Linked DNA regions of Drosophila melanogaster. The gene in region 2 interacts genetically with the main gene of each other region. Each region holds a gene or a part of one and is shown on either strand. Other genes may lie near its edges.

Region 1 (6,063 bases), on a different chromosome or scaffold from region 2:
CTAACTCGCAATCTCACTTTGTTTCTCTGTCGCTGACATTTGGCTGACAAATTGTTCAGCCGGAGTTTTGGATTTGGATAAAAGCGCAATGGGTATGGGCAATCGGGCTTTCGAGGCTTGTTGTTTGGGGGATGGAGAATCTATTGGTCTGTTGGCTAGACGAGACTGGTTTGCTGACGCTTAGGAGGGTCGTAAACTGCCCGGTGAATCGTAAAAATATTCGCAGCCTTTTGTTTACATTTTTGTTTACAATCTCCGCCCCTTCACCGCGCTTTCAATCGATGAATGCGTGTGGAAAATTGCATTTAAAAAATCTTCCCATTAATGCCGGCATGAATTGCTTACAAAAATGTTTGTTTATGGCCCGCCCTTGTTTTCGTTACACTGAGCGAGCGATGTTGGCCCACAAATTGAGTTCGAACTCTGAATCTGCGCAGCGTCAAGTGGCCAAGGCCACAGAAGTAGACAAATCATGGCCAGACCCTCCGCTGATTTATGGGTTCATTTCGCTGGCATGTTCTCCGCAAAACCCAACGACTTCATAGACTTGACAAGCCATTAATGCCCTTTCCTCGTTCGCGAGAAATCAGCCAACAGCTGTCAATCAATGCCATGACCTGGAGATCGCATATCTAGTTACGCAGTCGGACATATGTGCATTTATGATTATTATTTGATATCGATTTCTAATAAAAAGATAATGGCACACGCTCTCACAGGCTCATTTGATATGCATATACCAAGCATGTAGCTGGGCAATGTAATATGGAAATAATTAATAGCAAACTGTTAATTAACATGTTGATCAAACATGACTTAATTATGCCTTTTTATCGCCTGTTCCTTTGTATTTGCACACGCAGACACCAGATAACAAAGCAAAGCACACATATGAGCATTCAATGTGGGCTCTATTTTTCCAGCTTAATCCTTAGACAAAGCAAAGCAAACACATAAACAAACAATAATGCCACCCATTGGAGCACTCTCCCCAATGCGAACAAAAACCGAACGAGACAAAAATAACAATATAACGAAGCGTGAAATGCCATTTAATAAAATATTAGGTTACAATAACAACACCGGGAGCAACAGTGGGCCATTGCCATCTCACAGATAAAAAAAGTTCATCATCCGTGTGAAGATGAGATTCGTTTAATTAACCGCGACTGTCGCTTTTGGCCAAGGAAAAGGGGAAACACAACGGCACAAACAAAAAGTTGGTCATGTGTGATGTGGGAATCGCTTTATTGGCACTGGGAAATCAGTGGAAAAAGCCCGCGGGCCATTTATGAGTATCAACAGAAATTGGAACCAATGTCCGACCATAATTACGTGTAGTTGATACTCGCAATGAAAAAATATGATAGATATTCAGTATTAAATAGCACTCAACAATTGTTTGAACTGTACCGGAAAATTGAATATTAGTTAATAATCCCAGTGTTTTCTTGCGAATAAAAACTTAAGGTTAAAGTCTGCAAATACAAATACATTGTATATCCTCAAAATCGCCGGTAAATTCCCCTTTTCATTTTTGATATCACCCGCTGATCTCGAGCAAAACAATTCCGATCTTCGTCGATTATTCCGCAATTAAATTGTTTCTCGCACTTTTCGCATCGATCATAAAAGCCTAATGTCCAAGATGAGCATTTCAAGGTCGCCACCCGCGAAGACATTTATCATACGCAGTGTGCGCCCAAAGTTCGCAAGTGCAAAGTTTCCATAATGGCCGCTTGTTACGACTTACGACTGCCCATGATTTACGCGCTTTTGGATCAACAGTTGAATTTGAAATTTTGCAAGCCACACGGAGAGGAGGTGGGCAGATATGGGCAGATACCGCCCAGTTGGCAAGTGTTTCTCGCTGGCTATCTGGTCTATAATTAAAAATTTATGAATTCAAAATAGCAAATTAGTAACAAAAACAAATCGGGCGCCGCGCATCGCGAAATTTTCAATATAAACACAAAACAGAAAATAAGATAAAATGGGGATACTTTAATAGGGGCATATAGTAAAAACAAATGAGTTGTATCAGGATCAGTCGATTGGACGATCGCTGGTTTGTGCGGGGTCTTCGCTTTCTGGATTACGATCTGGCAGAAGGCAGACCATCTATCTAGGTATCTATAGCTACATTAGAACCAGGCAGTCGGCACCATTGACGTGCAGCGAGAGGAATCTAACGAGGTGACGATGATGGAAAGCAATAAATTTGCCTGGCCCGTGTTCTTCACAGCAAATTCAGGCACAGCAGGCCCACTTATAGCATTCTACCCACTCCTCCCACTCTTCCACTCCCACTTACCACCACGTCGTGGGTGAAGGCCACTGGCACCGAAACGACCAGCACCACGATCCACAGAGTCACGATGGCAATCAGGGTAATGTTCTCCGTCCTCATCATCCGCGAGCGAATGGGATGAACCACCGCCAGGAACCGATCGATGGACATCAGCACCAGCGTGTAAATGGAGGCGAAGGCGGTCACCACAATCAGGTACTGGACACTGCGGCACCAGAACCTTCCATATGGCCAGTAGTACACCATGTAATCGGTGGCCGTGAAGGGAATGCAGAGGATTACGAACATCAGATCAGCGGCAGCCAGATTGACAATCATCAGGTTGGTGGTGGAGCGCATGTTGTTGTTGAAGACCACCACCAGGATGACCAGCAGGTTGCCGAAGAATCCCGTGATGGCGATGACGCCGAAGAAGAATCCCACTATCCACGGCAAAGTGCCATTGATGGCCAGCCACTCTTCGTCGGTGAAGAATGAGGTGATATTCTCCTCATTTCTGGTTGCATTTAGGCTAATATTAGCCAGCATTGTGGTGTTCTCCATGTTTTCTCAGCTTTAGTGCACAACTTTCCGGTTCACTTTGTACTGGCTATTGGCGATTTCGCTTGATTGTCACGGGACATTTTCAATTTTGGGCTCTTTTTCGCTCACAGTTCATCGAACGCAAATAACAAATTTCCAATTAGGAGAGTTTCACAAAGCAGCCGCCACAAAAATTCAATTATCATGCGGAATACTACGACCGTTGAGCTTCGGAGACCTCAAAAACGTTTCGCATACGCCGTGTGGTATCGAACTCGACCGGAATTGTTCGCAACGTGGCGGGGGCAAAAGCAATTTGGTCCTTCCACGATAACGGTAATTGTAGGTGGGTAGCACAGGTAAGACAACAATAAAGGACAGCACACAAGGATCACGGTGAGGCGAAAGGCAAGAGAGTGAGTTTAAAGGTGAGGGCACGTGCAAACGACACCGACACAGCCAAACTGTGCCGAGTCACACCCTGACGACAAGGACACCGGGGTGTCCTTAGGTTCGAGGACCACGTTGCTGCACCTACACCATAAATTCAATATGATGTCTTCCTTTCGCTGCGTTTCTGTTTACATTTCTCGTTTGCTTTTTTATTGACAAACGAACGGCATAAATTTTGGGGCTATAAGGCTATGGCCAAAAAACCACGTTCCTATTGTTGCTACCGACTGCTGCGCCGCGGTACGCTATATATTTTCGATTTTATACTGCTGCTTTTGGCCAATTCGATAGTCCACACTGCTCGCGTCCGTATCCAGCGCCCAACTGATTGCTGGCTGAGCTTGTTGAGGAATACTTCGATGCCTCGGCGGCGGCAAAACGCCGGCAGCGACGCCAGCCATCCCAGCAAGAATAATGGCAACAATAGCAACAACCAGCGCAGCTGGCATCTGTGCGTGTGATGGTTTTGGGTGGCCGCCGGAGCCACCTCTTCCTCCTCATCCTCCTCATCCGATCCCAATCCCCATCAGCTGGGCTGGAATGTTTGCTCTTGTTGCTCCCACCGCTAAACTGCTGAACTGCTCGCCCAGTTGAATGGGCAACGCGCCACAGCAATTGTCGGGGCAATCACTACTTGTCCTGGGTCTGCGCCCGCTGTCTTCCATTGTCCTGCACAGCTGGATGTCCTGGCTGATGTCGTCAGCCTCGTCGGCTGCACAGTTGGTGTCGTCTCTGCTCTGCCGCGCTTAGTACATTGCTTAATTTCTCTGATTAACTGCTGGCAGAGGTGGAAAAAAAAAAAACAAAAAACAAAAAAATTGGCACGCGTTCATGCCCACGCCCCCCATTGTACACCGAAAAAAATGGATATGATATGATGTCATGTCTTCTACTTATTACATTCAGTCGATGATGAATTCTATTTACTAGTTATATATATCAACACGGTTATTAAAGATAAATACTTTACATATATTAAAGTATGTTTTTCATATATTCAAGCATGCAGACCAGAGGCGAACTTAAGCTCTCTGCTTTTTATACGTGCCAGTCAGATGGGATCCACTGGTTTAACACCTTTGGTCGCCGGGGATGGCTTGTCACAACATTATATAACCGCAGCCGGCAGATATCCGAGCTCGGTCTTGGTCTAGGTTAAGTCCTCGCCTCATTTACATGCTTTTTACTGCCGCTGCCAACGCAATGCTCACCTGTCACCTGCAGACGTCGACGTCGGCAGCGAAGTCGGCTGCTGCGTCAGCGGCAGCTGTGGCCCCCATCAAACCTGCGGCGGGCTGTCCCGTCGCCTGGCATTTCTGGCTGATGTGAGTGTAGGTGGGGTTGGGAGGTGGGGTGTGAGGTGTGGGGCTATGGCTCAATGCACCCCTGACGAGGACGTCGCCAGCCTGATGAGATTAAATGCGAATTAAGCACCACGAACAACAAACAACGGCTAAAAAAATAAATCAAGAAATCGCCCGGCGACAATGGCCGAGGCAAGCAGCAAAAGGCGGCATTATGTTTATTTAATGTGCAGCACTGCGGACTTAATGAAGTCTTTAATTCTTAATGCAGCTTCATTGCCTATTTAAATGGCCGACAGTGGCGGTGAATTGGTAGAATTTTCAAGTCGAAGACCGATGCCGCCAGCCAACTTTCCAAATTTCATTGCATACTTTGCGGCTGCCATAAAAAAATAGACCGGAAATAAAAATAACATTTCACAGTCTAGCACATGGCATGACTGTGTGTTCCTTTAACAAATTCATTTACAACAGCATATTTTAACAAGTAACATTGCTTAAGAAATGCGCTTAAAATGATCGGTAAAGGATATGTGTATGTACTTATAAATAATTTTGCAAAGTAAAGTTTACATAAATCAGGTTCACCAACCATTTCCACGAATACCCATCACCTTGAAGAACAACTTTCGCAGCGTTTTAACTAAAATGGAAAGCATTATTCCAGGCGCACACTTAAATTAGCATCTAAATAAACGACTACCAGACACGAGAGTTGGGGACCACATCACATCCATCCACATCCGCTTTCACATCCGCACACACTCGAAATTTTCACTCCGCATTTTCCCTTTTCGACGGGAGGAGCAACAATTTTTGTGATGTCAGAAAACTTTCGACGTGATTGAAATGCTTTTTAATTTTTCATCAAAATCATTTCATTGCGTCAAAATTGTTTGGGTGCTCCTGAGCGGCATGATAATCCGTATGGCGCACACACACCCACTCACCGAATTGAAGGACCCATCTTGCAGGGACATTGAGCTTAACCTTTTTCGTGCGCTGCGATGGATTGGTTCATTTTTGGCATAATCATGCGATAGGGATTACAAGTCTCTGCCAGGGCCACGAACTTTGGGGTGTTGTCAATGGAAAACAGTGGGAGAAATGCTATTTGGATTTAATGGATTTAAACTATGGCATTTTCTGTGCATTAATAAATTTATTTAATACTAACAGTTGAAGAGAAGTGTATTGTAAAATCTGTCATGTGATAGGAACCATGGATGGTAACTCAGATCGGGTACCACTGTTCGCTTTGCCGAAGTCAACATGGGACAAAAATGATGGATTATCGCTTTTTGCGCTAACGTTCACATGTTTTTATTTACTTGTATATAGCCCGCCCCGAAACCTGACCCTTTTTTTGGCATCTGCCAGGGGAATTAATAAATGTAAATCCGCCTGGGAGAATGGCCAAAAAGAAGGCATCGGGGATGCTTAAGCCACACAAAAGACCACACTAATCGCTTT
Region 2 (4,290 bases):
TGATTTTTTTTTGAATTGGTGGCTAGAAGGTGATCTTAGTAGAGTATCCGACGTCTCCGGCGACGACGTCGCCTACGTCCGGAATTAAGCGGCATGAAGACCATCATATCCGAACCGATTTGTGGTCCCGTGGACGAGAGCAACGGGGAGTTCTGCTGCTGGCGAGGATCGATGCAGGGGCAGTTGGGCAGTGGACGTGCTCCGCCGGTCAGGCAAACCAGCGGCTGCGATGGACACGTTGGCATCGGAAGCGGCAGAGTGGTGCCGGCGGTCGTGGTGGTGGTCAGTCCCGTCGTCGATGTGGTGCTACTAGTGGTACTGCTGCTGGTCGTGATCAGGGGCGGCGTCACCGGCGTCTGGGGATTCGGAGGCGTTGGCTGGAACGTCGGGATCACTGCAGGTGTGGACGGAAGAGCGGGTTGGGGCGGTATTAGTGGACCAATCGGCTGAAACGGCGGCGGCGGCGGGGGCGGCGCAGGGTATGGAGGTCCCTGCGGCGGCGGCAGGGCGTAGATGGGATAGTAACCTGGTGGGTACAGCGGGCACCAGCCCTTGATACTGGCCAGATACGAAAGGAATGGCCAGAAGTACACCTTCACACAGAACTCGTCCAGCAGTACCATTTCCAATCCGTAGCCGTATCCGTTTATCCGTGCTTTCTGCTTAGCCACCAGGTGGCAACTGTCCACAGAACTCTCAATTTTCGGCCAATTGCAGCTTGGCCAAGTGGAGCATGGCGGCCCAAAATGATTATAATTCAATTGTATTTTAGTGGGGCACAATTATCCAAAGAGTCGACTGAAATGACCAAGCTCAGGAGCGGATTGAGGGTAACGAGGGGTCAGATGGGGTCTTTAAAATTATTATATTTCATAATTTATGGTTTTAATGTTTCTAATATGTTATATTAAAAATAAATAAATAAATAAAAAATAATTTTCATTAACAATGTTTTGACGGATGTGTATGAGTAAAGAACCTTTTTGTAGTTTTGATAAAAATACTTTCAAATGTTTAGTGACCCATTACTCATATTATAACGACATCACTTGACTGTGTAACATGTTTTGAATGACTACTGGGAAATGCACAATTCTAAAAACTTAATTCAGTGCATTATTCAAGCACCTAATGGCAGATTCAACGAATTCACACCGAGATGCATCGTTAATTCGGGGGAAATTAAAATAACTGGGCCAGTGGCGCTTGAAATCCGATTGAAATCGTTTGTGGAGGAGATCTGCTGAAATCATTAGCTGGGTGTTAGATGATGTGCTCTGTGGGGGATGGGTTTATGTTGACACATTAAATGGAATGACACGATCTCATATATCTTAAGCAGATCTATTGGCACGATCGGTTGGGTATTTTTAAACCGAATGTTGAACTAAATATAGAAATTCACACCACTTACACTTGACGGACGACAAGATGGATAGACCCATATAAATGAATAGAAATTTATGAGCTTTCGCGAGGCCGGAGATCGCACACATTCTGATCCTATGAACTACAAAGACGAACTGAACCCGTGGGCCACTGACACACCGGAACTTAAGCGCCAATGGAAAATGATTTAATTGTGGCAATTTTCGAAATCAAATTAAATTTAATCGACAGGTACTAGCGGCTTGTTCGTTTTTTTTTTTTTGGGGGATGAACTTGAAAAGTTGAAGGATGGGTGAAGCACCCACTGAGGTTACTCATACATATTCCCCAGATTGCAGCTAGCAGAATTAATTTCGGATGCGCTTATTTATTGTTGAGAAAGGAGTGTTCCATTAAATCTAAATGCCGACTACGACTACCTTGATAACGTGCTGTATATACGGGTAATTATATATATAGAGTGTATGTGTGTGCGTGCTAGACATCGTCCGAGATCCGGACCAGGATCTGGTTGGCCTACAGCTATCTACTCGCGGTGCTTGCAGTCCAGAAAGAGCTGTGCCTGAGATTGCACGAAGCGGAAGATCTCGAGCAGCATTTCGTTGGAGGTCTTGCAGTTGCCCTGCTGTGTCTCGAAAAAGGTTCCAGGACCAGCTCCGCCCACCGAACGCTTGCCCCAATCCGGCGAGAAGGTCAACTATATAGAGGAAAATAAAATGAGACATCAGAAAGGGATATCCTGCAGCGGGATATGAATTCACTCACTTGACACTGGACGCAGGCCAGCAGCATGAAGAGCACGGCTGCAATGAGGACTTCGCTCTTGGGATTCATTCTGAGTTCTATGCTGGTCCACTTCGATTCAGCCCGCTTTTATACCCATTGAGCTCGAAGGGAAGACAGCTGGTAAGTAATTAACACAGCACTAGCAAGGATTCTTTCTATAATTGCTTGGATTGGGTCGGAATTTTCAATTCCAGTCGAGAGCGTCATTGAAACAATCTTCTATGTGGAAGCGTTTGTGATTCTCCATGTGTTTATTAGAATTGCGCATATGTTTAATTTTAAATTTAATTATATATTTATTTATATACCATTAAATAAGTTCGTTAAATTAAGCAGTGTATAAGAGTTAAAACAAGATTGCGGCTAAAGCAACTGTTGCAATACATTTGGCGAACAATAAACCATAGGATCCGGATCCGACTGGGGACATGTACAAAAGTATCGTTAAGTGAGTTGTGCGCGCCTGGCAGCTGCGGGTATAGTACAAAAATGCCGTGGGTGTAATACAGAGTTTGATGTTTTAGATTTCTACGCGCGAGAACGAGGCACTCAATTTGTTACAACAAAATCGGTTTGTAAGCAGTTAATATATGTATACGTATATATTAGTAGTAAATAACAATACAAATTACAATAACACATTATTACGTTTTGGCTTAATCGAAACAAACGTTCTGGGCTTAGTTATTGCATTATAAAAACAAATGGCCTGCGAGCCACGATTGGTAATAATCATGAAAACATTCGTCCTTAATTGTTGTCGTTGATCAACAAAATAATATTACAAAAATATATGTAGAAATATATATGTATATATAAGTTATTCGTGTGAATCTGTTGTATATATCTACCTATGTTTCGTGTTTCTGTTTGCATTTTGCATTGTTAGTTGTCAGTTGTAAGATTCTTCGTAGCTATTTGAGAGTGGCGAAGTTTATTCGATTCGTTCGTTGAATGCGCCATGCACCTGGGCAGGTAAGAAATGCACTTCGTTTGGGCTCGTTGACACGTTTTGTGCGGTTACTGGTTTCGGGTTACTGGTTTATCGTCTTCTCAACGGAATTCAAAGCTCAGTCGACGCGTGTTTTTCAAAAAATTTGGTGTTATAATCATTATATGTTGGCTCCTGCTTCCGCTGCGGCATTCAGGAGATTCTCTTCCATTTAGTTCCTTCTACATCAGGCAGCACTTCCTCTTGCCCTTCTTCTTGTAATCCTGCTCGATGAAGGGACGCTCGGCGATCTGGAACTTGCGCACGATCCTCACGAGCTCGTGGAAGGCCTGATCGACGTTGACCCTCAGTTTGGCACTGCACTCGATGTAGGGGATCATCAGGTTGCGGCTGGTGTTCTGCGCCTCCTCCAGGGACACCTGCTGCTGGTGCTTCAGGTCGCACTTGTTACCCACCATCAGCATGGGGAACTCGTCGCGATCCTTGACGCGCAGTATCTGGCGCTGGAACTTGGGGATCTCATCGAAGCTGGAATGATCGTTGAGCGCGAAGACGAGCAGGAATCCCTCGCCGGAGCGCATGTACTGCTCCCGCATGGCACTGAACTCCTCCTGGCCAGCCGTGTCCAAAACTAGGTAAAATATCAGGTTATTATGAATCTGGTAAGGGTAAAGAAAGGAAGCTTACTGTCCAATTTGGCTGGCACATCGTCGATGTTGCACTGCTTCGTGTACGAGTCTTCAATGGTGGGATCGTAGTCCGTGACGAAGTAGCTCTGCAAGATTAGGATTAAAATTATTGTACCGCCAGCTGCCGAGGCCACAAAACTACATATATAAACATTATAAGACTGGGTTTTTTATGTGGGCGGGGTGCGTTTATCATTCCGCCTTTGATTTGTTTACACACGTCACTTTTATCATTCACTATCCACTATGCTCTATATATCTTGGGGAAAAGCTACAGCATATACACGAAAGATGTGCAGATGACGCAAATGACTAAAAATAAATGGAAGCGGGCGGTCATTGTGGTCGTGACCATGGCACAAACTCTCGGGGAATCGATCGGCACACCCAGAAAACTGGGGGCTGCGTCTAACGCAACTCCCTGGTTCTGGGCTCTGACCACTTGATCCCCAATTGGAGATACACACGGGGGTG
Region 3 (5,790 bases), on a different chromosome or scaffold from region 2:
CACAATGAGAAATGCAGTCAACCTTTCTGTGCTTAATATCTCACAATTTAATTATCTGTAATGTCTTTATATATAGAGAGATCCACTGAAAGAACGCAGTTTAAACGTACATAACGAAAATAGGATTATTTTTGAGTGTACAATTCTTTGCAGTGTACATGTGGGCAACGACAATTATTAAACGTTTAGCACCCATGCATTTTCCATACCCCCCCCCCCCACCATTTTTCCGACTGACTGTGGAATTCATTGAATGTGCCTGCAATTTTTGGTGGGGAGGGGTTCCCCATATCGCATTTCTGCGGCTCTACATAACCGAGACCGAATGGATACGAGTGGCCAACATATGGATCTGAGCCGTTTGCCCGCTCTGCTAAAAAGTTTGAGAACTGAGTTTGTTTTGCTGATCTGTTGTTTTTATTAATGAGCTGTTGATAGTGCTGGTTAAGTCCCATTTGATAGGCATTCAAAAAATTCTATAATTATAAATCCTATAAATTGTAAATATGACTTTTTGGTCCAAGCTCGATTTCCCTGTTTTTGGTTAAAAAATAATGCGTTTTTTGGACACAACTTTGAAAATAATGGTTCAAAAGTGGAGTGGCATATCTTATTTTACTCCTAATTAACTTCCCAATCGATTAGTGTTCAAATTTGGAAACTTTAAATTTTTGCGATTTTTTGCAAAATTTGATGATGTTACCCCTTATAAAAATTCGAAAATTGACAAAAAAATTTTTTTTTCTTAATTCGAAAAAACGGGACAGGGATCGTAAGCATTGGTAATTAGCTGCACAAAACAGTAATTATTTTTACTTTACGACCATTTTCAGTCAAGAAATATTGAAAAAACCACTTGGAAACATGGATTATTTTGATCAACTAGTTTTTCTCATTTTCCATCCAAAATAATCGTTTTATTTTTACAAGGAAATTATCCATGTTAAAGATTAAATAATCATTTAAAGCGTTAAGCATTAGCTGAGACACAAACCTTTCGAAGTTTTACCGTAAGCTTACCAACGGCTGTGGTGAAGCTCTCCCGCTGTCTCTGTCACTCGCACTTCCCTGTCTCTCGCACAATTTAAATATTTCTTAAAATTCAAAAGCAATTAAAGTGCGGTCATAAATTGTGCGAGCTGACTACGCTCCGAATCGATTGCATTCAAATCTCCTTGTAAAACCCAAAATGGGCGTGCAAATTGCCAGCACGTGGACCCATAGATATGGTTCTAAAACTTACAGATCCGGGCAAAAAGAGTGCTGCTCAGTTCATTACGTATACGCCGGATTGGCTGCAGCAAGCATCGCGATTTTGTTTGCACATCTAAAGCAGTGACTATTCGCTAGACAGAAGGCAAACATCTTCGCAGGCCAGTCACGTGCACGTAAATGTCAATAAAACGATATTCCCAGTCGATGGTGATGGTCCGATATGATATTGTAGTATGGGGGCATTAATAATACCCGATGCTCGAGCAATACGATCGCACTCCGCTTGACACAGTAGCAGCCCCAACATCGGGCAATTAATATGCGGCAAACAATTTTGATGAACTGCTAACAAGCCGATGGATCGATGGGGGTTTTATGGGGGCTTCTGGTTCTATACCGGGATGACAGCCCATAAAGCAGCACAATGGCACAAATTGATTTTGGCCAAACGATTATTTCGGGGGTTGCGTGCTCTTGGGCACATCCGCATCGAAAAGTAGTACCCCTCCGAAGCCAAGGATCAACCAGCTGGGCCATCAATATCAATGAGCGGATGCCGATTGATTGGCAGACCCGTCGATTCTTTATTGGTCCGTCTAAGAAAATACATATTGCCCATCGCGGTTTACGTCTCAATTATATTTGAGTGCCATTGAAAGTGTAAAGAACGTTCACAAACGGCGGCCAGAAATAGCGAGCGGAATCTCGGCGACAGCCACAAATCATAGCTATAAAGAAAAGAGCCAGCATATTTCGTTTACGATTATATCCGGACGGAGGCCAAGCCGTAGAACTGCAACTCTCCGCGCTTTTCCAAGCACTCAACAGGCGTCCGCAGCTCGCAGTCCGCAGCTCGGGGGCTCGTCCACTTTTCCCGAAGTCCCCCAGTTGGGTTACCCGATTCGGAAATCCCGAGCCCGAATCCCAACTGCTTGGGCTTGCTATCCGTGCGATTCATTCGCGCATTTTGCCGTCGAGCGTTGGCCAGCGCGGTGGATATTTCGCATATCCGCAGTGGAGAATCGCATATCGCAGCGGTATCAAGTTTTAAAATTCAGTTTCGAATGCCATAAAAAATAAATAATAAAATTAATAAACAAATCCGGTGCGTGTGTGCCTGTGTCTGTGCGGTTCCGTCTCAATGAAATGCCAAACTAAATAAGCTTGGAAAAGTTTTCCATCCAGTTTTTATGGCAACCCAGCGAGGCCCGAAAGAGTGTCAATTGAATTAGCGTCTCGGGCTATAAGAAAATAATACAGAGCCAAAGAGAGATTATCAAGACGCAACAGGTGATTGGATCGCGGATTTATGAATTCGCAAAGGTGTTTGTTTCTCTGATATATAAAACCACCTGTGGCTCCTCCTTCTAGTTTTAGGACCACTCTCTGGAAATCCAACTTCGATTCCAGGTAACTACACTAATTACCCCCAAAGTTTACTTTAATTTATATATAGTGCTAGTGCAAACAAACGAAAAAAGAACATATGTTAGAGAGCCGAAAAAGAAAATCGATAAAATTCGGACTCAGCATTATGTTTATGCTAACCGCAAAGGCAACTAAATATTTGCTTTTCGCAGCGGGGAAAGTCTTCACCTGTTGCACGTATCGCATGTCCTGTTGATTGGCTAATTGATAACATCCAGTTCCGGTCATCACCATCAGCCATATATCAATCCATCCGCACATCCATGCGGATCCCTCCATATATCCATTCGCATGTCCACCCACCCTTGACCCTGTCAGCGGGCAGCCCATTAAATCATCCCGAGCAAACAAATTAGCGGAACGAGTGCATCAATAAACAAAGTTCACCTGTTGCCCGCTTACTGCCGCGTAGCGAAAAGAAAAGACATCTGCAGTTTGCATTAGCGATACATCTTGTATCTTTTGGATGCCAGCCTCCTACTTATGGCGGATTTTTTGGAATTGCACTCGATGGGCAGGGAAATAAAGCAAACTATGGCGAAATGAACCGAGCAGGGCGAGTGAACATCAAAAGCGTTCGGTTCGGTTTGGATGGGATGGTATGGCACGGGCATAGGTGGAGAAGGTGGGGTGTATCTATCTATCTATCAGATGCACACGGCGCTTGTAACCGCAATTCGCATGCCACCGCCCACCGCCCACCGCCTACCGCCCGTCCTTCGACCTCCTCAAGTCGCCAGTGCTCTTGATTACGCCTTTGTGTATAAATTAATTAAATTAAAAGTTTCCGGTTAAGCCTCCGAACGCCGACAAACGCGGCGCTCGAACGCATTGCATTCGAAAGTGCAGAAATGTCCGATGCACTCGGTTCAGTCATTTCGACTTCGAGGAGCATTCGATGATTATCGCACCCTTTCGATTCTGCTGATAAAAGTGAAGAAATATTTATGCTTATATTTGAAGCATGAATGTGCAGCATTTGTGTCAACAAGTTGGCCGGGGTTTCCCCGTTTCAGCACTCACAATGCAATTGCAATGGCCTCTTATCACAAACTTAGGCCGATCCAATGAACTCAGTTTCCATGTTCATACTGCAAAGTTACAAAAGGCGCTGTTATAAGTGTGATAAAGAGATAAATATAGTAAATTATGCTGCTGAGGAAAGGCTATAGACCCATGTGGAAAATGGTGATAACATCGAAATAAATAGGTAAAACAATTGCAATGGATGATAAAGAGAAGCCATATACAAAGCAGGCTGTAAACTAGTCATAACAACACATTTCATGTGGAAATTATTTTTATAATTTCCTTTTAAAATATACATTAGTAATAATGATTTACTTCATGGCATTTCATTAGTTTAAAAAATAATTTGTCATAGTCATCGCAAATGATCTCCCAAAAGTACATCATTTATCTTTCTGTGTAACTGAGTGGCTATTGCAGGCACGTTTCCGAGGCCCAAGGCTCCCTGTAGCTACCTCATTTGGACGGCAATCCTTTTCCTGGGAAAGCCCTTCATCCCGCTGGGAAACGTGTGCAGCGAGTCGAGAAAGTCGAACCCAGAGATGGATTCATTAGGCTGCTCCTGGCACCGCCTGACACCCCATCTTCGAGCTGGTCCATTCCAATTGCTTCTATAAATATTCGGGCAGACACATCAACAACCTCCCAATCGCAAACCGAACGTCAGCACTTGCCAAAATCCAAGAGCGCGACGCGGGCGATTTCCAAACAAAGTCAACATCTCGGCCGAATCTGATTTCGTTTCGATTATACGAATTTAAAGTAAGTCACGCAGCGATTTTAGCAGTTCCCCTGGCCTGCAAATCGGGAAGCTAGGAGGTACATAAACATAAGTGGGTTGCGGTTGGGAATTAGCATCCAATTAGAAGATAATCGCGCGCTAACTGGCCGCGTAAACTTTTCGCGAAGAGATGGCCAAAAAAAAAAAAAGTGTCACAGATTTACGCTGCTTTGGCCACGCCCTAACCCTGTAATAGCGCCCACACCTCCCACACCTAATAGCGCCCACCAAAGTGCCCTTGAGTGCCTGCAGTTAATGTGCAGTCGACCTTCACGCCAACTAAAGACCAATTGTCAATATTTTGACAGCCATCGCCATCAAAAGGCAAAGCGGACTGCGAGTTCAGCGGGAATGGAAGTGGGTTCGATGATGAATATGTTGGCGACATATTGCAAATCCCAGTGGATGGTTTCGACCCACGTGTCCGGGGCGGTGGGCGGTGGGCGTGGCACACCTAATGTTGACATCACTTGGCCATTTAATGACTGCCTTTATGGGGGCTTTTACAACCTGATGATAAAGCGCCAGAGCGATGTGAACCCAACTGAACTGGAGAAAAGTGAGTCGCCCTTGAGTGGACTCCAATTGACGGCCAATTTGGCGCGGCTTTTTCAGCCCGTGCTCGCTGCGAGAGAGAAAAGTAATTCATTCACTACTTAACTAACAGATATGGTTTCTCTTTCATTCCGAGCAAAAATACGTTAAAAGGATTCATTTCCACTTTTATATGATCCTGCCAAAAATGCGTGTATGTTATGTTAAAACACTTTACTCTTCTCCTGAGTATTTTTTTCTCTGTGGAAAGACATACTTGTATGTTTATTGTGTTCTTTCAGTGTGAGCATTTATATTGGCTACCCAATCACCAGACCAGACCAGACCCTTCCATCCGGCAATCGCCATCGCATTGTCCTCGTTTTGTCCCCGGTCATAAGGTCTCGTACCGCCTCAATTACATTTATCCTGCCCTGAATTGATGACGGATACGAGCAATACGAGTTGTTGGTCGGGGAACAGCGATGCAGGATTACTCCCAGAGCGAACTAAACATATTGCAATTACATTACATTTGCATTGATCAGGGGGAGTCCTCTTTTCTTCCATAGTTGTGGATGCAGATGCAGTGCAGCTTACTCGGCGTGGATTAGTTCACTCAAACGGATGGCCCCGCGTGAGGCCATTACCAATGGGGCGGATCGGAGTGGATTGCCCCATCCACAGCCCAGCATTCGAAATGAGAAATTATTATATTTGAAATTTTACATAGTACCAAAATAGAACCCAGCATCGGGGCATGATTCAGGGCCAGCACGTGATGGGAGAAATGTGGGGTGAAT

What was found.
Region 1: of Akh (region 2) and AstA-R2, changing one enhances a phenotype caused by changing the other (phenotypic enhancement), as found in Drosophila melanogaster (one study listed by BioGRID).
Region 3: of Akh (region 2) and AdoR, changing one suppresses a phenotype caused by changing the other (phenotypic suppression), as found in Drosophila melanogaster (one study listed by BioGRID).

What each region holds. Positions count from the first base shown.
Region 1 is NT_033777.3:28,741,172-28,747,234, forward strand, and holds the start of AstA-R2 (allatostatin A receptor 2), read right to left. Parts: upstream 3,612-6,063; 5' UTR 2,855-3,611; coding exon 2,315-2,854; intron 1-2,314.
Region 2 is NT_037436.4:4,139,519-4,143,808, reverse strand, and holds Akh (adipokinetic hormone), read right to left. Parts: upstream 2,343-4,290; 5' UTR 2,224-2,342; coding exon 2,155-2,223; intron 2,087-2,154; coding exon 1,916-2,086; 3' UTR 1,739-1,915; downstream 1-1,738. Other genes in the region: CG32260 (uncharacterized protein), read right to left, coding at 53-623; Ras64B (Ras oncogene at 64B), read right to left, coding at 3,349-3,758, 3,815-3,902. UniProt on the Drosophila melanogaster protein: Probably causes a marked increase in hemolymph carbohydrate.
Region 3 is NT_033777.3:30,145,996-30,151,785, reverse strand, and holds the start of AdoR (adenosine receptor), read left to right. Parts: upstream 1-2,179; 5' UTR 2,180-2,625; intron 2,626-5,790.